Astyanax mexicanus: one gene and its partners. The protein of the gene in region 1 interacts with the protein of each later gene in a pairwise test. Links are inferred from orthologs where the notes say so. Each region holds a gene or a part of one and is shown in the gene's direction. Other genes may lie near its edges.

The links.
Region 2: the proteins of ppih (region 1) and n4bp2l2 interact in binary tests that used the Homo sapiens proteins (3 or more experiments, as listed by UniProt). The two-hybrid records come from large-scale screens. The link is inferred for Astyanax mexicanus from reciprocal best matches to the Homo sapiens genes PPIH and N4BP2L2.
Region 3: the proteins of ppih (region 1) and E3 ubiquitin-protein ligase XIAP interact in binary tests that used the Homo sapiens proteins (3 or more experiments, as listed by UniProt). The two-hybrid records come from large-scale screens. The link is inferred for Astyanax mexicanus from reciprocal best matches to the Homo sapiens genes PPIH and XIAP.

What each region holds. Positions count from the first base shown.
Region 1 is NC_064419.1:17,955,146-17,962,721, forward strand, and holds the start of ppih (peptidyl-prolyl cis-trans isomerase H), read left to right. Parts: upstream 1-4,525; 5' UTR 4,526-4,642; coding exon 4,643-4,708; intron 4,709-7,576. Other genes in the region: exosc10 (exosome component 10), read left to right, coding at 114-175, 278-308. UniProt on the Homo sapiens protein: PPIase that catalyzes the cis-trans isomerization of proline imidic peptide bonds in oligopeptides and may therefore assist protein folding. Participates in pre-mRNA splicing.
Region 2 is NC_064425.1:46,077,435-46,085,081, reverse strand, and holds the start of n4bp2l2 (NEDD4-binding protein 2-like 2), read left to right. Parts: upstream 1-4,606; 5' UTR 4,607-4,730; intron 4,731-5,963; 5' UTR 5,964-6,080; intron 6,081-6,506; coding exon 6,507-7,621; intron 7,622-7,647.
Region 3 is NC_064417.1:41,604,849-41,612,692, forward strand, and holds the start of E3 ubiquitin-protein ligase XIAP, read left to right. Parts: upstream 1-4,790; 5' UTR 4,791-4,929; intron 4,930-7,844. Other genes in the region: E3 ubiquitin-protein ligase XIAP-like, read left to right, coding at 1,189-1,681, 2,128-2,318.

The sequences.
Region 1 (7,576 bases):
TTTTTTTTATTTTTATTCTACAATAATGCTATTCATCTCAGTCTATAGACTGCAGTTTAATATTCAGTTTATGAGAGGATGGAGATAAAATAAAACTGTTTATTTTTTCGTAGAAAAACCCAAGAGGACACAGGCAGGGTCCTGGAGGCAGAGGCATGCCTGCCAAGTCCGAAAGGTAATAGAATACATGGATTATTTTGCCGGATTCTTTAAATATTAAGTAGTATTAATTTATACAGCATTGTTGTATGGTATTAATACATTTGTATAATTCCAGAGGATTTCACCACAACTGGCCCAGGAGATAGAAATCTTCGCTGGACACTTGCCCTTTTAAGGGACCTTCTTCTGTCTAAATTGTTGTTGTTTTTTCTTTCCTTTTTTATGTGGGTCATTTTATTAAATTAATTATGGCTTACATGCTACATGATGCTGTACTATATGTTTTGAAAGAACTTTCATTAAATTGAAATTTTAAATGATGTTTTCTTTTTCTGATTTTGGAATTAAAGCTTATTGTGTGTGTGTATATTATAAGTATTATAATACAGATTATTGCACTTTATTGCACCTGTTAATTGAGAGCTTTTAAATTAATCTACCTTTTATATAGTATTTTATATAGAACTTATATACACTGCTCAAAAAAATAAAGGGAACACTCAAATAACACAATATAACTCCAAGTAAATCAAACTTCTGTGAAATTAAACTGTCCACTTAGGAAGCAACACTGATTGACAATCAATTTCACCTGCTGTTGTGCAAATGGAATAGACAACAGGTGGAAATTATTGGCAATTAGCAAGACACACTCAATAAAGGAGTGGTTCTGCAGGTGGGGACCACAGACCACGTCTCAGAACCTATGCTGTCTGGCTGATGTTTTGGTCAGTTTTGAATGTTGGTGGTTCTTTCACACTCGTGGTAGCATGAGACGGACTCTACAACCCCCAGAAGTGGCTCAGGTAGTGCAGCTCATCCAGGATGGCACATCAATGCGAGCTGTGGCAAGAAGGTTTGCTGTGTCTGTCAGCGTAGTGTCTAGAGGCTGGAGGCGCTACCAGGAGACAACAACCGAGCAGCAGGACCGCTACCTCCGCCTTTGTGCAAGAAGGAACAGGAGGAGCACTGCCAGAGCCCTGCAAAATGACCTCCAGCAGGCCACAAATGTGCATGTGTCTGCACAAACGGTTAGAAACCGACTCCATGAGGATGGTATGAGGGCCCGACGTCCACAGATGGGGGTTGTGCTCACAGCCCAACACCGTGCAGGACGCTTGGCATTTGCCAGAGAACACCAGGATTGGCAAATTCACCACTGGCGCCTTGTGCTCTTCACAGATGAAAGCAGGTTCATACTGAGCACATGACAGACGTGACAGAGTCTGGAGACGCCGTGGAGAGCGGTCTGCTGCCTGCAACATCCTTCAGCATGACCGGTTTGGCAGTGGGTCAGTAATGGTGTGGGGTGGCATTTCTTTGGAGGGCCGCACAGCCCTCCATGTGCTCACCAGAGGTAGCCTGACTGCCATTAGGTACCGAGATGAGATCCTCAGACCCCTTGTGAGACCATATGCTGGTGCGGTTGGCCCTGGGTTCCTCCTAATGCAGGACAATGCTAGACCTCATGTGGCTGGAGTGTGTCAGCAGTTCCTGCAAGATGAAGGCATTGAAGCTATGGACTGGCCCGCCCGTTCCCCAGACCTGAATCCGATTGAGCACATCTGGGACATCATGTCTCGCTCCATCCACCAACGTCACGTTGCACCACAGACTGTCCAGAAGTTGGCGGATGCTTTAGTCCAGGTCTGGGAGGAGATCCCTCAGGAGACCATCCGCCACCTCATCAGGAGCATGCCCAGGCGTTGTAGGGAGGTCATACAGGCACGTGTAGGCCACACACAATACTGAGCCTCATTTTGACTTGTTTTAAGGACATTACATTAAAGTTGGATCAGCCTGTAGTGTGTTTTTTCACTTTAATTTTGTGTGTGGCTCCAAATCCAGGCCTCCATTGGTTAATACATTTTATTTCCATTGATGATTTTTGTGTGATTTTGTTGTCAGCACATTCAACTTTGTACAGAACAAAGTATTCAATGAGAATATTTCATTAATTCAGATCTAGGATGTGTTATTTGAGTGTTCCCTTTATTTTTTTGAGCAGTGTAGTAAGTTGTTTCTTATTTTCTTAAATTAGAACCCTCTCAGGTTTTATTTGAAGGTAAGGAAAATATGTTGTATGTTTTTGTATGAAGAAAACTCATGGAATCAATGCCAATTACATTAAAGGGAACATTGTTTTTAAATTGATAAAATGATTAAATACGTTCGGTAAAAACTGAATGGTAAATTATGGGACCTATGCATTAACCCAGAAAAGCTCATGTGACTTATGTATCACAGACCCTTTAAAAGCTGTTCAGTATCTTACAGCAGTCTGTCTATTACTTTAACTTATGAAGTCCGTAAGTGACACAAAGTGGCTTGCAAAAGTATTCATACCCCTTTAACATTTTCTCATTTTGTCACCTTACAACCACAACCCTACATTTATTTTATTGGTTTTAAGTGATGGACCAACACAAAGTAGCACATAATTGTAAAGTCAATAAAAAATTACATTTTAATCAAATAATCTTGTTTGATGTGCAAAAGTATTCAGCCCCCCTATATTAACACTTAGTAGAGCAACCTTTCGCTGCAATTACAGCTGCACATCTTTTGAGGTATGTCTATCAGTTTTGTGCATCTAGAGACTTAGCTCAAGCTTAGTCAGGTTGGATGGAGAGCGTCGATGAACAGTAATAAACATCTCGTCACAGAAGCTCAATAGGATTTAGGTCGGGACTTTGACTGGGCCATTCTAACATATTAATATTCATTGATCTAAATCATTTCACTGTAGCTCTGGCTGAATGTTTAGGGTCACTGTCTTGCTGGAAGGTGAATCTTCTTTCCAGTCTCAAGTCTTTTGCCTCCAACAGGTTTTCTTTTTCAGGATTGCCCTGTGTTGAGCTCCATCCATCTTCCCATCAACTCTCACCAGCTTCCTTGTTCCTGCTAACAGAAGCATCCCCACATCGTGATGATGCCACCACCATGTTTAACAGTGGGGATGGTGTCAGGGCAAAGAGCAGTGTTACTTTTCTGTTACACATAGCGCTTTGCTTTTAGGCTTGTGGCAAACTTCTTATGTTTTTCTTTCAACTATGGTTTTCTTCTTGCCACTCTTTCATAAAGGCAAGATTTGTAGAGCCCCCAACTAAAAGTTGTCCTGTGGACCTGAACTGTGGATTTTTGCAGCTCCTCCACAGTGACCATGGATCTTTTAGCTGCGTCTTTGACTAGTGCTCCCCTTGCTTGATCTGTCAATTTGGGTGGACAGCCATGTCTTTGGTAGGTTTGCAGTTGTAAAATACTTTATTCCATATTTTGATGATGGATTAAACAGTGGTCCTTAGGATGCTCAAAGTAGGAGATATGTTTTTATAATCTAACTCTGCTTTAAATGTCTTCACAATTTTATCTCTGATCTGTATATTGAGTTCCATGGAGTAAAGGGGGCTGAATCCTTTTGCACATCACACTTTTCAGATTTTTATTTGACAAAATTTTGAGTGAATCATTTTTCATTCCACTTCACAATTACGTGCTACTTTGTGTTAATCTATCACCTAAAATCTTAATAAAATATGTTTGTGTGTGGTTGCAAGGTGACAAAATGTACGCCCCATAGATGACATTATTTCTGGAATAAAATGTTAAAAAAAAAATTATGACACTTATGTCATTCACATTACATCATGATTTTAACTTTACAATATTTACAGTCATCTGCCCACAATAAAAAACAAAACTATGAGCAGCTCACTAAATTTATCTGATTCAATTTTGATTGATTTGATTGGTATCAGTTTTAGATTATTATTATTATTTAGAAATTGATATGGGTAACAGGAACTATTATGTAGCTCTGGGGACTTTCCCTGTTATTTAAATAAAGTTTTAGATAAAATTTTTAGTCCTTTCACACTTTAATTCATTAATTTCTGTTGCCACATTTTTTAGTTGGTGGAAGATAATTGGTTCATTTACTTGTCAGACAACAGCCTGAGTAGTGGGAGGGGCTAGGAGTAGGAGCAGAGAGAAAGGAAGAGATTCATGGGGCACAGCTGCTAGACTCCTGCTCAAAACATGTCCAAAATGTGTCCAAAGGGACAGTTAAACCACCTGAGTGACACTTTAAAGCATCTTTCATGAGGTAAATTATGTTTCTGTGCACACACTTTTAGGTTAAATTGTAGGTAAAATTAGGAGTTAAACTATTTGTAGAAAATACACCAGAATGCAGGAAAGGGCTTCTAATTATTAAAAGGAAAATCTCTCCCCCCACGTTTAAAGTAAAAATAAAAACATGTACTGGTCATTTCTGCTTTAAATTGGGGAAAATATTAAATATACCAGCTAGTCTTGAGGCGTTACGAAAATGGTTTTCGGTTTGTCCCTCGTGGAGCCTCGTAGAAATGTCCAGTCGCGCTTGCCGTAGCGGAGCAGTTTGAAACGGGTTCCTGTGTTAGCGTGAAGGAGAGTGAAGTTTCTGTTCTGAAGTTTTTTTAACCTGCAGTTTTACTCCAGAATGAACGTTCAGCCCTCAAACCCCAACAACCCCATCGTCTTCTTCGACGTGACGATCGGAGGGCAGGTCAGTGACTCCAGCAGCCGCCCTGAGCGCGCGAACAGCGCTGCTGCTGCTACTGCTCGAGCTGTGTGAACAGTGTGTGGACAGACTGTGTGTGTGATGTAGTTGGTGCTGTAAAACGTGGTCAGATATCTGAATGGCTTTAAAAACTGAAATGAAAAGTATTAGCTGCTGTATTCAGAGTTCACATTACAAGCCACGTTGCTCAAATCCGATTCTTGCTCAGTTCAGATTCGGTGACGGTTCACATTCACAAATATAAGTGACCTGTATCTGTGCGTAATGTGAATGAATCTGTACATTGATTTGAGAAAAACGTAAACGTCGCCTTCTTCACCACCAACAAAAAACGTCATATTTGAGAGACGACTCGTAGCTTTATAAAGGTGAAATGGATGCGTTTGTCCGCAGCGCATATGTGGAGCATCTTTTGCTGGACCGTTCACATTCTTATTGCATGTCCGTGGATCGGATACGTATCCGATTTAGGATCATATATAAAATTGACTTAAATTTAATTAAAAAAAGGAAATTGGCACGTTCACACAGCTATAAAAACACTATATTTGAGTCACTTCAGTTCAGTTTTAATGTAAACGTAGCCTTATAGGAGTTCCATAGAATCACCAGCGCAAACAATGTGAATCGTTTAATATGGTCAATAAACTGGTCTTTATTTAGACTAGACTTACCTGTTCTAATACTAGAATCGTAGAGACAGTGGCTAACTTATTTATTATAATTATTAATTATATTATTATTATTATTATTATTTCATTATATTTACATTTATTTTATTTTCGATTTTTATTTAAATGACAGTTTGAATCAGTAAAAGGGAAAACAAACTCACAGTACACAAAAATACAAGGAGCAAAATTAAATATTTTTTCATGTACAAATATACCTTTAGTCTTTTTGTTAGGTCAAGGTATAAATACATGTATAAATTATTATTACTAAATAAAAAGGTCTGAGGTTTTCCATTTACAGATGAGAATGATATGTACCCAAAATTATAATGACATTAATTCTTATTCTAGTCGTATCTTAGTGTTTTCTGGTCCGCCTGCTCTCTGTAGCACATACTATCTTTCACCTGTAGATGGCGCTGTTGCGACAGTTTCAGTTGTTAATCTGAATGCATTTAAATAGGTTTGTTGACCCATTCACTCCATTATAAACTGTTTTATAAATAGATATATCAATACAATTTTAAAAATGAAGGCTGAAAAAAAAAAAATGTTAAAAATAATTACACAGCAATAAAGGGCAACATTCACTGAACCTCTTAACAAATATACAGTTAGGGCCATAAATATTTAAACAGTGACAAAATGCTCTTAATTTTGTTTCTGCATGCCACCACACTGGATTTGAACATCTGAACTGTAATTAAACTTAATTGAATTTCAGATTAAATTCAGGGGGTTAAACAAAAATATAAATATAATTTATGAACTTTACCATTAATAAAATGTAAGTTTTTTATCTTTTGTTGAGAAACATTTTCAAGCAATGACTGCCTGAACTCTGGAACCCATGAACATCACCACACACTGGGTATTTATCCTTTATGATGCTTTGCCAGGCCTTGTCCTGCAGCTGTCTTCATTTCTAGGCATCTCTTCCTTTAGCTGTCATGATAATTATCGTACATTATCATATATTTTCCTCAACAGTGCAGTTCTAATCATAAATGTGCCTCACCAGTGCGAGTCTAATCACATATTTACCTCAACTGTGAATTCAACTTAAACTAAGCATAGGTGGTGCGAAATGCTTTGTTTAATTTCATTTGTGAGTAGAGCATATAATGAACTTGAACCTGCAGTTTGTTTGCTCACTGCATTGTAAATAGCAGGTCTCTTATCAGCCCGGGGGAGGTTTTGGTGGTGTTTGGGTGTGCCGCTGCTGCTGCAAAAATCCTAAAGTAAAGAAGAAATGCTGCACCCCCATATTTAACTTACTTAAATTTGTTATATGGAAAACAAAGTAGTTTTTTTTTCTTCCTTTTTTGACCAGATCAATTAGTTTACCCAACGTTTTTTGCATCTCTTGTTATTTCCTTGTTTAAATTATTTCAGCTTACAATCACTACAGAAACTGTGGAATGGGGGGCCTGCAGGGCAGAGAAATTTCAGAGTATTCATCCCTCTGCTAGACCTGTTGAGCAGGAAATTTGGGGATGGGTTCATGAGGATGTCTCTGTTTACATCTGTAGTCAGTGTCTGTTTGATGTTCATATAACTTTTAAATACACAGTACTAGTTCCAGTATTCAAAAAACACCCCAAACTCTTACATGCTTTATAAATAAAGCATTAAAAAGTATTGGAACACCATCTTATTTAATGTTTTTTCCAAAATCCAAAAGAGAGTTTATCCTGCTTTTTCTGAAGCAACTGGCTCTTTTGTCCAGAGACGGCCTTTTACTCGATTTTTATTTTTACAATTAAGGCTTTGATTGCATTCAGTGGTAGTGAAGTCAGAATGTTGGATGATCAAAAGCACACTTAAAAACGTGTAGGCTTTTATTATATTAATATAATTGTATTATATTTATTATATCCCATTCACCTATATTGGCAAATTACTGTGTGTATGTATACAAACATAAATCAGATAAAAATTCAGTCTGTATCACTAGATCCTTATTTTTAGGTCATTCCTACACTTGTATATTAAAAACCTAATAGCATAGTAGTGCATTTATACCCTTTTAAAAAGCAGCAAATGTTTAATTAATAATAGTGTAGAAGTTATTTACATTTATTTTTTTCTGTGAAATATTTTTATTATTTAATGTCCTCAAGAACACATATTGTAAAAAGGCTAAAATATGGGCAATCTTAAGATTATGCCCCTGTAT
Region 2 (7,647 bases), on another chromosome or scaffold:
ATGGTAGATCAGAATTTATATAACCCCATTAACGCCTCTCTTAGTTTACCACAATTATGTAGAATGTAATGTGGAATAGCTATAAGAATAAGAAACACACTTAACACTTAAATTAAAAATAAATAAGCAGCTGATGAACACTGTAACAATTTGCAACAGAGGCAGCACTTAAGGTGGAATACACAAAATAAGTGAATTTAGCTGTTTATTCTCTACCTTAGAGATGGTGCAATGGTTTGGTCCAGGCATCTGTAACAGCTTCACTGTTTAAAGTGTAATAAAAATGACAAATAAACCAAAGTTAGTAAGTTAAAATGGAATAGTAGGGTATTTTTAGAGTCTATTGTGTGTTTGGTGGAGTTAAATGAATATACAGTGTAAAACTATTAGTTCACTATTTTTCTGCTCAAAGTTTGGTTTAAGTATGTTTAAGAAGCTTTTAAGATTGTGGAGAACAGTTGTGCACCTATAATTATGTCTTTGGCTCTTAGACTATTTAATAAAAATCCAGCCTTGAAAAGAATGATCACAGGTTTACCTGACTGCTGTTTGTGCACTTTATCTTGTCTTTTTCCACTTTTCATGTCCTAAAAATAGTTTTGTTTCATCTTTTGATTGATATGAGGGAAAACAGCGTAACGAGGGTCCAGGACGGTCTGGCTCTGCTGAAATGAAACCTGTATCCTGTGATCTAATTGAGATGGTTTATAATAAGAGATCAATCTAGCAAATACTCACAAAAGGGTCCACGGGCAATATATTGTAAACATATTTAAAACCATTTTATATATAATTAAAAAAAAATAGTATGGCTGCTACGCAGGTTACCATTTGAATCTGATTTATTTCCAAAAATATAGTATATAGGTACATAGGTTAGTGTGGAAATGGTGTACAATTCTATGCAAATATTTGTAGAAACATCGTAACTAAAGGAGCAGAATAACAACTTTATTTCATCATCTCAAACGACTTAATCCAGCGCAGTTTATTAAATCAGTTAAAGGTCTGCTTAGATACACAATTAGCTATTTACTATTTAAACATACCATATGTGTTAAATTTAGTGTTATAAAAATACTGATAATTAAGGTTAAGGTTTCATCATATTGAGTCAAGCAGGAGGAAAGATCCACATGAGCAGCATGTTTTCAAAGAAGCTCTTTATTAATGGCTTACTGTTGCTTAAAGCACTGGAGAGTGAAACCAACTACAACACAATCGTAGAAACACCACAAAGCCATTCCATGGTAGATCACTGTCCGTCGTGCCAGTCACCACAATTTCATATCATATTGATATATTTCATATATCAACATTTCTCTGCCACATATTGAGACATGAGTTTTATTATTTTACCTAGCCTTACTACCATTACAAGTCAAAATATAATTATGCTATCAGTTAGAATAAATGCATCCAAGGCAGTTTTCCCAATCCTGATCCTGTGGCTGCTTCCCTCTTCCTGCTCCAGGCCGTTTGTGGTATGACACACTGTGCAACCTCGGTTTGGTTTGGAAAGAACTTTTGTTTGTGCTGGTTTTCTTAGCTTTAAACCATCTGGATATGAAATGATTCTACATGCTGAATTTGATAATGTGGTTTTGGAGTGACCAAGCTTGCATATGTTCCAGAAACAGCACTAAATTCTCACCACAGCCCACTCAGCCGGCTCATTGTGTTTACTTTTTCAGCAGATTTTAGTAAAACCAATGTAAACAAACTCAAATTTTCTAATATATACAGTAAATAGGCTCTTTTTGTGAGCACAGCAAACTACTAATCTAACACAAGGGTGTATTTTAGGGACTTCCCAGAGCTATATACCTCTCTGCAGACCAGGTCACAGGGGCACTGAGGAGACTTCGCTCAAGGAAATCAGCTGGACCTGACGAGGTGAGCCCAAGACTTCTCAAGGCTTGTGCCTTTGAACTTGGATAACCCCTGTCGAACATCTTCAACATGAGCCTGCAGTTGGGGAGGGTTCCAACGCTGTGGAAAACCTCATGCCTGGTCCCTGTTCCCAAGAAACCTCGTCCCGGTGAGATCAATGACTTCAGGCCGGTAAGACTGTTTCTCCCCCTTTGCATATCGGGAGAAGATTGGTGTTGAGGATGCCATTATCTACCTCCTCCACCGAACCTATTCTCATCTTGACAAGGGCAGTAGTGCTGTGAGAATCATGTTTTTTTTATTTCTCCAGTGCTTTTAACACCATCCAGCCTCCACTTCTCAGAGACAAGCTGGTGAAGATGCATGTGGATCCTCACCTGGTGTCCTGGATCACAGACTACCTCACCTGCAGACCACAGTATGTGAGGCTCACTGACAGTACATCTGAGACTGTGGTCAGTAGCACTGGAGCACCACAGGGGACTGTGCTCTCCCACCTTCCTTTTCACTCTCTACACATCAGACTTCCAGTACAACTCTGAGATGTGCCATCTGCAGAAATTCTCGGATGACACTGCCATTGTTGGGTGTGTCAAGGGTGGTCAGGAAGAGGAGTACAGGAGACAGGTGGATGACTTTGTTGCTTGGTGCCGACTGAACCAACTGCAGTTGAACATATCCAAGACCAAGGAGATGGTGGTGGACTTTCGTAGGTCTGGACTACCCTTGCAGCCAGTCTCCATCGAGGGGGTTGATGTGGAGACAGTAAAGACCTACAAGTACCTTGGTCTGCTGCTGGACGACAAACTGGATTGGTCAACAAATACAGGCACCCTTTACAGGAAGGGACAGAGTCGGCTCTATTTCCTGAGGAGACTGCGGTCCTTTAACATCTGTAAGAAGCTTCTGCAGATGTTCTACCAATCAATCGTGGCCAGCATTCTCTTCTACGCTGTGGTGTGCTGGGGAGGCAACATGAAGAGGAGAGATGCATCACGACTGGACAAGCTGGTCAGGAGGGCCGGGGCAGTGGTTGGAATGGAGCTGGACTCTCTGGTTACAATAGCTGAGAGAAGGACTTTGGATAAACTGCTTTCTATCATGAACAATGATAGTCACCCACTTTACACCACCATCATGAAGCAGAGGAGTGTGTTCAGTGGCAGACTGCTGTCACAGAGCTGCACAACAGACAGACTCAGAAAATCCTTCATCCCGAGAGCCATCAGACTCTTTAACTCCTCCCATCGGGGACGGGATGCTGCTACTGACTGAGTTTAATCCAGTCACACCACATGGACATTATTCAACCACTTAATTATTTACACTAACACTTCCCCAACCTCACTTACATTCAAGTACATTTTACTCATGATTGGGTATTCACATTTTCACATTCTCTTTTTAGAACTAAATTTGTTACAGATGCATATTTATATTATATTTCTATGTCACATCAGTCACTTTCATGATCAAAGTCATTGCACATTGCACTTTGCTCTGTTATTTATTGAATTATTTAATGACCATTAGCAACATCTACTGCACTGCTTATTGTATTGTGTTGTTGCTGCTGGATGCCTAAATTTCCTTCGGGATAAATAAAGTATCTATCTATCTATCTATCTATCTATCTATCTATCTATCTATCTATCTATCTATCTATCTATCTATCTATCTATCTATATGCAGAGATGTGTCATTATTTTGTTATAATCACAATATTCTTAACCTCGATTTTCAATGGAGCAATGAATAGGGTTTTAAAAGAAAACCTCTAATTCTGGGATAAATTATTATTTTCACAACTGTTTTATTTTGTGTGTGTTTTTCTCCTGTACATCACTGGATCTACTAAGGATTGAGCAACTGAGGTCACATGGTGTGTAAAGGAGATGTATGGTCACCAACCAGATAACCTGACCTAGAGAGGTGGTGTATATGGAGAAGAGAAGGGGTGCCAGTACCGAGCCCTGGGGAACCCCAGTGGATAATGAGTGGGCTGAGGACATCTACTACTTTCATTCACACTTCATTTGACTCTTAGGCGCTTTCTTCCTCTCACACAAGTTGGAATATGCTGAAAAAGTAATATATGCAGCTAAACTAGTGTTTATTTCCTTCAATAAAGCTCTCAGTTAAGCTGAGTGACTCAACACATTAAAACATTCTCATTATAAAAGCATCAAAGGCTACACTGAGATATTATATAATAAAGTAAAATATCTAGCCAGGCATTTTTTAGATCATTTTTTAAGAAAAGATGCATATTTACATAGCAATCATTCATATGGCTATCTAGTACTTGTTTATTTTCTACTTAAAATGGTAAGTTTTGATACTAATATTAAACATGAATTACAAAAACCTTAGTGGACAGTTTGAATGTGTTCTTTCTTTTTTTATTTTATCTTGGTCTTGTTATTAGCAGATATTCAAAACCAACTGACTCAAAATCTTTGGGACATTCAAATAGTTTCAATTAAAAAATCTCTACTTGCCAATACTGAATATATCAATATAGTGATATCATGTACAATTATATTAATTACTATTAAATTGTTGTTTAATTGTGCGATTCATATTTTTTGATTGATAGTATTTTCTTTTCTTTACATATTTTATTAATTGATAAGCGTGTTTGTTTGTTGAGTTTTTTCATTATACAGTATTTCTCGTTGTGTTTTACACTGGAGCTTTTATTTTGACATAGACCGGAAACAAACGGAAGTCTCAGTGTTTTGCCCGGTTTAGCCTGTTTTAGTTTCGGATTCAGTAAAGAATTGAAGATCTGTGGAGCTTTTACAGCGAGGTTACAGTCTCCTGCTGCTCACTGGGTATGAGACATGTGTGATTAGTTAGTGTTATTTAGTATTATTTGGTGTTATTTAGCGCTATATAGTGTTAGCTAGTGAACAGCAGTGTGAACGCTGCTAAAGCTAACTAGCTAATAACTAGCCGCGCTAATGATCGGATTTACTGGGCGGGTTTAGGGTTTTTGAAAAACACAGATTTTGTCTGTCTATTTGTTAGACTGTCAGTCTGTTCATCGGTCTGTTTGTCTGTCAGTCTGTTTGGACAAAATAGCAGATACGTAGTCAAATAGTTAGCTAGCTGATTTAAGTGCCAGTAATTGCGATTGTTTTCTGTTTAATTTTTAATACTTTATCTTATTCGAGCTTTAGCTGTTGAGTATATTTTATAACAAAGATGCTAAAACCCACAACACATTAAAATACTTATACAATCTGATTACTGCCATGTGCAACACATCTTTATTCACCATGTGTAATATCACTGCTTATTCACTACTTTTTTTTATCTTTATTTACTGTGAACCTGAGCAGTATCACTGATCACTGCATACCAGTCAAAAGTTTGGACACACCTTCTCATTCAGTGTTTTTTTATTTCTTTATTTCTTGTATTTTATACATTGTAGATTAATATTAAAACATTAAAACGATCAATGGACACATTGAATTACGTAGTAAAGAGTATAAAAGTGATATTCCTCCACATTAAAAAACCTGATGAACTGAGATAGCAACAGCTATTGTTCAGCACCTCCAGCACTCCACTTGGGGACACATTTAAAGTTTTTGCGATTTTCCGGACTGACTGACCCTCAATTTTAAAGTAATGTTGGCCACTCGTTTTACTTTAGTTAGCTGATTGGTTCTTGGCATAATATGTATTTTAACAGTTGTCCAATAGGGCCGTCGGCTGTGTAGTAACCTGATTTCTGCACAACTGGTCCCAACCCCATTAATAAAGCAAGAAATTCCACTAATTAACTAATTAAAAGGCACACCTGAAAACCAATTCAGGTGTCTACCTCTTGAAGCTCATTGAGAGAATGCTAAAAGTGTGCAAAGCAGTAATCAGAGCAAATGAAACTAGAATATAAGAATATATATATATTTGTATTTTATATTTGAAAAAATGTGCTGCTTTCCACAATTCATATGGTGATACATGTTGAATGTGTTTCCCTTTGTTATCTATTGCAAATTTTTTATCTGTGATTATGATTTTATTGATCTTGTTATTGTTTGCTCTCTGAATAGACTTGTGGAGTATCCAGTAGAAGACAGTAACTTCTATATCCGGGTTTAATATAGATTTTCAGGCGTCCACTGTAAAGATGGCTGCTTGACCTCTTGAAATGCAAACAGTTGTATTCAGTAAGTATATTTAAATATCTGTATATAATTTATTTGTGTTCTGTGTCAAACCTTTCCTTGTTTTTGTTTGCAGTAAAGGGTATCTTCTTGCAGACCTCCCATAAAAAAAAAAAATTTGGTTTCTTTTTAAAGGTAGATGCGACATTTTGTTATAATCTGTTATAAACTAAAAGCAACAAATTGGTCCTGTGATGATGTTTTAGGGTTTATGGAACTTCTTTTTGTATGCATCTTTTGTTCTGTTCTTGAGCTGAATTTGCTACGGCGATCTGGCCATGCTTATCACACTAGCCTAGAAATAGTAGTGTAGATCACTAATTAACATAATGAAAACTTTTAGGTGTTGAGTATTAAATGGAGGATATTATGAATTACTTTATACGCACTTATTAATACTAAATCTGTATTAATTATCATTCTTTACAGATGCCTCATGTTACTCCAGTCAAATCTTCTTCTACACCTTTGGGTGGAAATGTAGAAGAAGGCTCTCAGCACCCGCAGACACAAAATCCTGGTCAATCTGCCCCTGAGATACAGCGGATGCATACACCACATGCAGTAACCTACAGGAATAATTCAGTGGGCAACGCTAACCGCACTAGGCCTTTACCTTATCCTGTACTTCTCGGACAGCTGAACATATTGGACAGTGCCAATGTTGTGGAGGTGAATCAGAATTTATTAGAATTACCAGCACAAATCTTAAAAGATAATATATGTGAAGAGGAAATCTCAGGGGTTGATGCAGAAGAACGTAGCTATGAGAGGAGCAGAGAAGAAGTCATTAAAGAAATCGCTGTCAGCAGCACTGCTTTCATCGGCCCGGCGTGTCGACCCGACGCAGCAATAGAGAAGGAACTGAGTGATTTTTACAAAGAGCTTGAGGAGTTTGACCACCATGACAAAGTTGATGGAGTTGATGGAGAATTAGTAGTCACAGAAGGTCTTTCTCGGTTATGTGAACCAGAAACCAATCCATCTCCCAGAAAAGAGACTCGGGAAAATGATCACAAGAGTGCGTATAGGCCTTATCCAGCTACTCGACCTCAAAGAGACTATGAAAATTCTAGGACATGGAAGCCTCAACCACATAACGAAATTACATGGAACGGTCCTGATGCAGCAAACAGCCATCCAAGTCAGTGGCAACATCTTCCACCACCAAGGCTTCCACATGACCCACCACGATTTCCAATTCCTGGCCGCCGTCATTTCTTACCTCCACCCCCACCTATACCTCAGACTCCTACACCACCTCTGCATCTCCTGCCTCCTATTAACAACTACAGTCACCATGACACCAACAGCTGGTGCTCCTGGGAAAGGACCAATTTTCCTCTTCGTAATGACATCAGACTTTCTGCATCAAACTGCCCTGAGTCATTTGAACAGCGAGGAAGAGGTTCAGCTGACTGGCAGCCATATTATAAGACACAGCATTATCACGAGCGAGATCAGTACCAGCGTAACAGTGGCACGTCTCCGGTTTTGATTTTGATGAGAGGACTTCCAGGCTGTGGGAAATCAACTCTGGCAAAGTGAGTTTTCAGAGCGGCTGTACAAT
Region 3 (7,844 bases), on another chromosome or scaffold:
CCCACAAGGAAGTTAAATCTCAACCCCTGTAGACACCCACACAATGTTTATTAACAAAGTATCTTTCTATAAATGTTATTTATTATTACTTTGTTTTATTAAGTGATTCATTTCAAATAATTTGTTAACGATTGTGCAGTTCGTGGGTCCATGTGCCATGAAGCGCTTTAAGTTGGTTTGTGGTCTCTGTTTTTCTCTTTTAACTGATTTATTTCTGCACATCTATTTTATGATGATTCAAATTTATGATTTTATATGTTTGGTTTGTACTAAACATTATTTACAGTAAATATGTATCTTCTTATGGCCTGTACTGTGTTCTTGCAGAGTAGAAAGTTGCAGAGTTAAATAATAATAATTATTAATATTAATATTATTATTTGTGGGAAGTACCATTCTCCTAAAAGTGAATATTGAGTGAATATTTAGAGAACAAATCATTCAAAACCTTTAAATAAATTTTGATTCAATGTCAGAATTGCAACATTAACCGATTACTATTAGGCATAGTTAAAAAATATTGTTTTATGGTTGTTGTTTTTTTATTATGTTTATTTAATGTTCTTTGCTATTAGGGTCTGACCCAGTCACCTAACCATCACAATTGGGCCTGTCAGAGTCATTTGGATCTTCACACAGTACACCCACTGCCTAATACTGTATATATACCCTTCATCTTTTACTTTTACGAGTACTATTGTTATGTTTTCAATACACATGTAACACGGTTCAAAGACATAAAACACAAAAAATAGTAATTTTGATTGTTTTACATGGGCAATTCTTGAATTGCTGTGGAAGCATGAATTTTTCATTATTAATTGTCAGAAAAAAAGACAGAGGCCGTTTCTATCAGACCATCCCAGTAAACACTTCTTCTGATTGTCAGACAAAGCATGTGGGTGTTCCCATGGGGCGTCACTTTCTCTTTCTTATTATTTAGCTAGAGCTTTAACAACAGTGCATTCATTAGAGCAGAGGAAGTGGTTTTATATATATCTGACGGATCTCCAGAAGGTATGTTAATGCAAAAAAAATCTAAATGCCTATTTCAGTTTTCAAAATTACTAGTTTAATAAATTAGTAAATTCAACTATGTTACCTTTTATTCGGGATGTGAATGGGTTGTATGTTTTAACAACCAATTTAGTGCTATCTGTTTCTCTTATTTAGACACACACTGTGACAATGGCTGATTTCAACACTGCTGGCACACTCGAAACCCATGATGGATCACAGGACTTGTCCTGTTTTAATAGTAGGAGGAACCTCATAGGTGATCATTCCTCTAAGGCCAGCAGTTCCAATCAAGAGGCGAAAGCCATCAGACTCCACAAAGGAGAGATTGTGAATGAGTCCCCCTACCCGAAAGTGCCACACATGAGGAGTGAAGAAGCCCGGCTGAGGACGTTCAGCAACTGGCCCTCCTCGTCCCCGGTCCAGCCCAATGACTTGGTGGGGGCTGGGCTGTTTTATGTGCCTAAACCAACCATAAATGACCTGGTGCAGTGCTTCTGCTGTGGAGGCATACTGAAAGCCTGGAAGGAAGGTGATGTTCCCTGGAGTGAACATTCCAAGTTCAACCCAAACTGCTTCTTTATCTTGGGGCATGATGTGGGGAACATACTGATGGAGCTGAAGAGTGATAGCAGTAAAAATGTATTCTCAAATAAAGAGAGAGGTAAGAAGATTTGAAATGCACATATTACAAATAATGAGCATAATCAGCATAATGTAAAGTCTTTGTCCAGTTTGTCCAACTGTGCCAGGGCATAGGGCACAATACACAATATATAATTTCAGCAATTTTTGCAGCTTGATATTAAAGTAAAATGCACACTGTTCTAATTTTCTATGACAGACTTGTATTATTATTGTGAAACCAGAACACAATTGTTTTAAGAGTATTTGCAATAGGATAAACATGAATTTAGGACAATAATGCTCAGGCATGGTACAGGGCAACCAGGTTTAGTGTGAGTACACCTTAGGTTTTTTAATATGTTGTTGCCGTGCATTTTTATATGATTTTTCTATGAAGTGATGTTATTTGTAAATTATCTTTAGAAAGGTTATACTGTCTCATGTTCTTTTGTAAACAGTGTTTTTTTTCCTTATGTGTTGCAGATGAGGACCCTTTAAAGACACTGGAGAAGCTCCAGCGTGAAAAGCTCTGCAAAGTTTGCATGGATAATGACCGTTCCATTGCCTTCATCCCATGTGGGCACTTGGTCACCTGCAGAAAATGTTCCAATTCTGTTGAAAAGTGCCCTGTGTGTTGTGCTTTCATCACTCAGAAAATCAAAACCTATAGCTAAGATTCCACTTTGACACAAAAACTATTATGATGTGAATCATTAACAAGTATTCCTTACAATTGTGCATATGGATATATTTGGATATAATACTTGTATAATTATATATATAAATAATTATGTGGTTTTATATTTTATTCTGCTAATTTTGCTACTTTATTGTCAGCCCACATAAACATAAGTCTTTAGTTTTCTGCTGTTCTGAGAGATGTGTAGTGTGTCGTCAGTGGGTAGTTTATGCTAGATTTTACAGGCAGATTAAAGTATTTGTAGGTAGGTAGATTTCTGTTGGCCTGATTTCAGAGCATGGCTACCCACACAATGATGAAATGGCATACTCTACATAAAACTATGAATGTTGTTTCCAGAAAATAAACTGCAATCAAACTTTAGCTTTCCTGAAGCTGCTGTAAAAGGGATTTGAATCACATTACAGGGAGTGTATATTTTGAGCACAAGAAAGTTTATTCTGTAGACACCTGTAGACACCTAGGCTGTGTTTATTGACATAGTCATATTAATCATATTAACACATTTAATCACTTTGTTTTATTAAATGATTTATTTGAAACACTGTGTTTTTGTACTAATAAAATAGGGTTTTGTAAATAGGAGCTGGGGTTATTTGTTTGGGTTAGCCTATTTCTCTCTTTTTACTGCTTTTTTCTTTTTCTAACACTTCCATTTAACCACAATATGTATATTAAACCGTCTATGTCAAAGGTACACCTGAAACATCTGTGGAAGCATGAGTTTATCATTATGACTTTTGCATATTAACATAATTTTTTTTTTCTCATTTGTTTTTTTTTTCTTTTGTATAGAGGGCACATGACTGTAATATTTTAAGTTTAAAATCCAATAAATCCATCACTTGTGTTATAAAACTGTGTCTGTGAAACATTTTATTTAGCATTTAAGGGTGATTTCACACCTACTTTCTACTGACTTTCAGACTTTTCAGTTTACAACCAAGCTCTGGATATACTGAACTATGGTCCAGTTCATCTGCAGTGTGAAAACACTTTTCTAAATGGTTCAACCTTTTAGATCAATTACAGGAAGTTGGTGTTGTGCCGACTCCACTTGGCATTCAGCCATGCAGTATGGACACTGTTTTACTTCCATAATGCAGCAGTATGGACACAAACGCAAACAGAAATATATAGATTTTTTTGCTATTTACAGTGAAACTTTAAAGGGGTATATTTTGTAGAATATGTTACATTTAAAGTTTATACACATGCTACTATACTTCACGTACGTGAATCCAAAGGACTACAGGACTCTTTTTTTCTTTTTCTTATTTTATTAGACCCTCAAGGATTCAAGGATTCAGTAAGACTTTATTGTCATTCGCATCACGTGGTACATGAGGTGGAACAGAAATGTTATCTCACAGCTCAGTTCCACCCAAAAGAGCAATTGTAATGTAGATAAAATAAAATAAGAATAAAATATTTAATTGAAATAGATAGCAAGATAACTACACATAACATAAAGGGAAGTAGCAGCAGCATAAAACAAGTGCAAGTACTTAAGGCTTGATAAAGTGTAACAGTACTCTTTAATCCTTGTTCTGTGACATGACATATATATCTCATATATTTGTATGTTCTTTCAACAATAAAATAAAATGTCTGTTTTTTTTGGATATTTTATTTAGTTTTAGTTTGAACATAAAACACAACTAATACAATACTAAAAAAAATGTAAATAAAAGAAATTGACATTTTTTCTGATAGGACATACAGTATAATATATTTATACATATACATATAGTATAAATACAATTAATACAAATATGGTTAACCTAGTGTACAACTAACATATATATAGTCAACGATAAAATTTAAAGAGATCTTACATCACCATAAATCAATGGGTCTTTTCAAATGAGTCTTTTTTAATATAGTCAAAGAAGGGCTGCCATACCAAAATATTTCCAATTTGTTTCTTAAATGGTAGGTGATCTTTTCTAGGGGTATACAAAGGTTAATTTCAGAAATACATATATTTTAACAAGATTTCAGTGAGCCTTATGGTGCAACTTTTTTTTTTAATTACCCAATAGTCAAACTTCTGAACCTATTGGAAAAAAGATACCAAGAATCTCAGATAACATATTACAAATTTTCTGCCAGAAGTCATGTACTTTAGGGCATGACTATGTACAGTGAGGGAAAATACCATCAGTAACACCACATCTGTAAGAAAGGGGGGGACACCTTTGAATTTAAAGTGTGCAGCTTAATTGGAGTATAATAAAGTTGGTGTAGGAAATTAGATCGAATCAGTCTTAAGCTTGTGGTAGATGTGATCCCTATAAGATCTCTATAAAGATCTTCACACAAATTTTGATCTATAGCCAAACCCAGTTCTTTTTCCCATTTAGTTTTGTATCTATAAAAAAGGTCTGCTTTAGTGTGAGAGACACACACTAGTCACTATGGTCCATAAAATCGTGTGGGCGTGGCTAATTGTTCCTTCCGCTTTTCTGTAGCTAGCTGGTGGCAGTATAAGAGCAGGATAGAGGAAGGGAGGCAGTCTGTCTGAAAGTTAAACCTTGTGAACGGCAGAATAGGACTGGATTCATCTGACTGGTCTCCTGAAGGTACGTTGACACTAAAACGGTTGCTTTAGTGACTTTAAATGCCGCTAAATCGTTTACGCTAGTTCTAGCTTAGCTAAACTAGCTTAACGTTAGTAGCTAGCTAACACAGCTGCTACAACAACACTGCAGACAGACCGAAGGTCGAAACTCCGTGTCTCTGGTGATTAATCGATCACAACTCGAACAGTTTTGCTTTTTAGGTTCACAGGCAGAAAACAGGGTGGTTTATCTTGCTAATTAAGCTCCGTTTAAGGTCAGCTGCTCTTTGTTGCTGCAGTCTAGCAGGTCTCTTAGTATCCTAACGTAACTAGCTAGCTAACGCTAGGTTAGCTGTGTCAACCAAGGGTGTTTTTGTCATGGTGTCACCTCTAGAGCTAGCTAATCTGGTTACATAGTAGTAACTTAGTAGTAGTAGTAGTAGTAGTAGTAGTAGTAGTAGTAGTAATAATAAAGATATTTAGCGAATGTGTTTAATAATGTGAATATGTGAATGTGAAGTTCTACCCATGGTGGTAATGACAGGTGGTAGCGAGCTAACTATCCTACGAGCGAGCGAGCGAGTGAGTGGGGAAAAGTCCAGAAAAGTCATTGTAGACCGCAAACTGGAAAGCGAACTAGGTGCGTCCCCAATTGCTTAGTTGTGGGTTTGTTTAATGTTAATTTATAGCTCTACGTTTGGAAATTACTGGACTGATTTCCCCCCAAAATTCTGTACATGAATGGTGGGTAAGATGGTCCTAAAACATTATCACGATACTTCAGGGTATTTGCGCAATAACCATAATTTTAATGATATGACAAGGGAATTAAAAAAAAAAAAAAAAAAATATATATATATATATATATATATATATATATATATATATATATATATATATATATATATATATATATATATATATATGTAATAAATTAATGTTCAACAATATACTACTGCAACAATATACATGAAAAGTTTTAAACCTTCAACAAATCTGTAACTATTCTCCATTATGTAACAGTAACTTTCCAAGATTTTGAATATTCTTAATGTAACAAACAGTAACACAAGTAACAAAAAAAACTACCAAATACTAAAGTGCAGATTATTTAGTGCGTGTATAAATTTTGAATGTAAACTATCATACAGAATATACCACTATAAAGTTGCACTGTAAATAGCAAAAAACTCAAAACAAAACAACAACAGAAGAATAGCACTATTATCACAATATGAATTGATAGGGATTTTTAAAATTTATTTAAAAAAAGATACAAGATATGGCAAAAACCGACTAAAACTTCTATATAACTGCTAGCTAAATAATTTTGTGAATGTTCCAGTTTTATTATTCATTAAATACATCACTTGCTTCTGTCCAATAAACAAATGTGTATCTTCATTTGAACCATGTAGCTGCTGTGTATACTGTGTAAATATTTCTGAATGAATGGACTACTAGAAATGCTTTAAAATTACTCATTTTACATTAACTTTCATTTAGAGTTAAGGACATTTTTGGCCTTTCCTGTAAAATCACAATTTAGGAGAGACAGGTTTCACAATTTAGGAGGGACATTCATAGCTATTAACACATCTGATGTAAAATGATTTTTAGTGTTTTTGTAATGCACAGCTAAAGAAATAGTCTGTTCTATAATACACAGCTCTTTTGGGTTTTGTGAGCCTGTGCAGAACAGGGCGGGTTCTGGTAGCTTTGATAGAAATGCATAGAAAAGGATTACAATAAGAATTACAATACAGTAGATTGAAAGGCCACACCTGTGTTTAAGAGTGCTAGATCTTATTGTTAAGCTGTTACTCAACATCTGTCCATCAATCACTTGGATGGCCTGATGGTATCGGTTTATTACCTCACTATGCAGATAGTGATGCTGGTGCTATGTACAGTATGTAGCACCGGTATGTTATCAATTTTTGCTTCGCCTCATGGTTGAGAGTGGGCGAAGCATATTAAAGTTAATAAGTGTGGGTGTAAACGTTTCCTGTGCTGTTCTAGAACTCTTAGCACATGCTGAGGGTGAGGCGTGCCTGTGACCATATACTTCTCCAGGATTTAAGTAATATCCCTGAATAATATGTGTTTAGACTTAAGAAGCCTGAACTTATGTTTGATTCAGTGTATCTATTGGTGAAAGCAATATTTTTGCCATAAAGCTACAGTTAGGGCCATATACCTTCATTACTGTAAAATGATAAAATTCCCATACTAAAATTGAAAGTTATGTTTTGGGGCAGGAAATTCCTCCCAAAATGAATGCACAATACACTACATAAAAAGGCCACACCCTTGTTTGAGGGTGCTGGATTATAATTGCTAGGCTGTTACTCCACATCTCTCATTTCAAACAGGCTAAAGGTGCTGGTTGGTTACGCAACATCACTATGCAGATAGTGATCCTTGTGTAAAATATATGGTATGAAACACCCTTCTATTTTTTTAATGGCATCACATATGAAATTAACTAGCCTAACTGTTTGGATGTAATCCTGTGTCAGATTTAATGCGTCTTTTGCTGAAAGCACAATTTATTTATTTTTTTTGCCTTAAAGCTACACCTTTGGCGATGTCTTTACTGTAAAATGTGGAACTTTCCCTACTGAAATTGAAAGTAAAATTTTACTGTTAAATATGACTTCATTGCTAGATTGAAACCTCACTTTGTAGCTGTAACCAGGGAATGCCCCTCTTGCTGCACATTTTGTTCAATCTTCATAACGAAAAAGAAACTTATAATAAATGTATACAAAACATGCCAAAAATTTAGTTAAATTACCTCCAGGATATCTGTGTGGGGCCTTTTACATAGAATGTGGTTTTGATATCGTCCAGAGTCTGTCTGTCTTGCGTGCGTTGTCAGAAGCCATAGATCACAATTATTACCACCCACTAGGGGTGGGCGATATGGCCCTA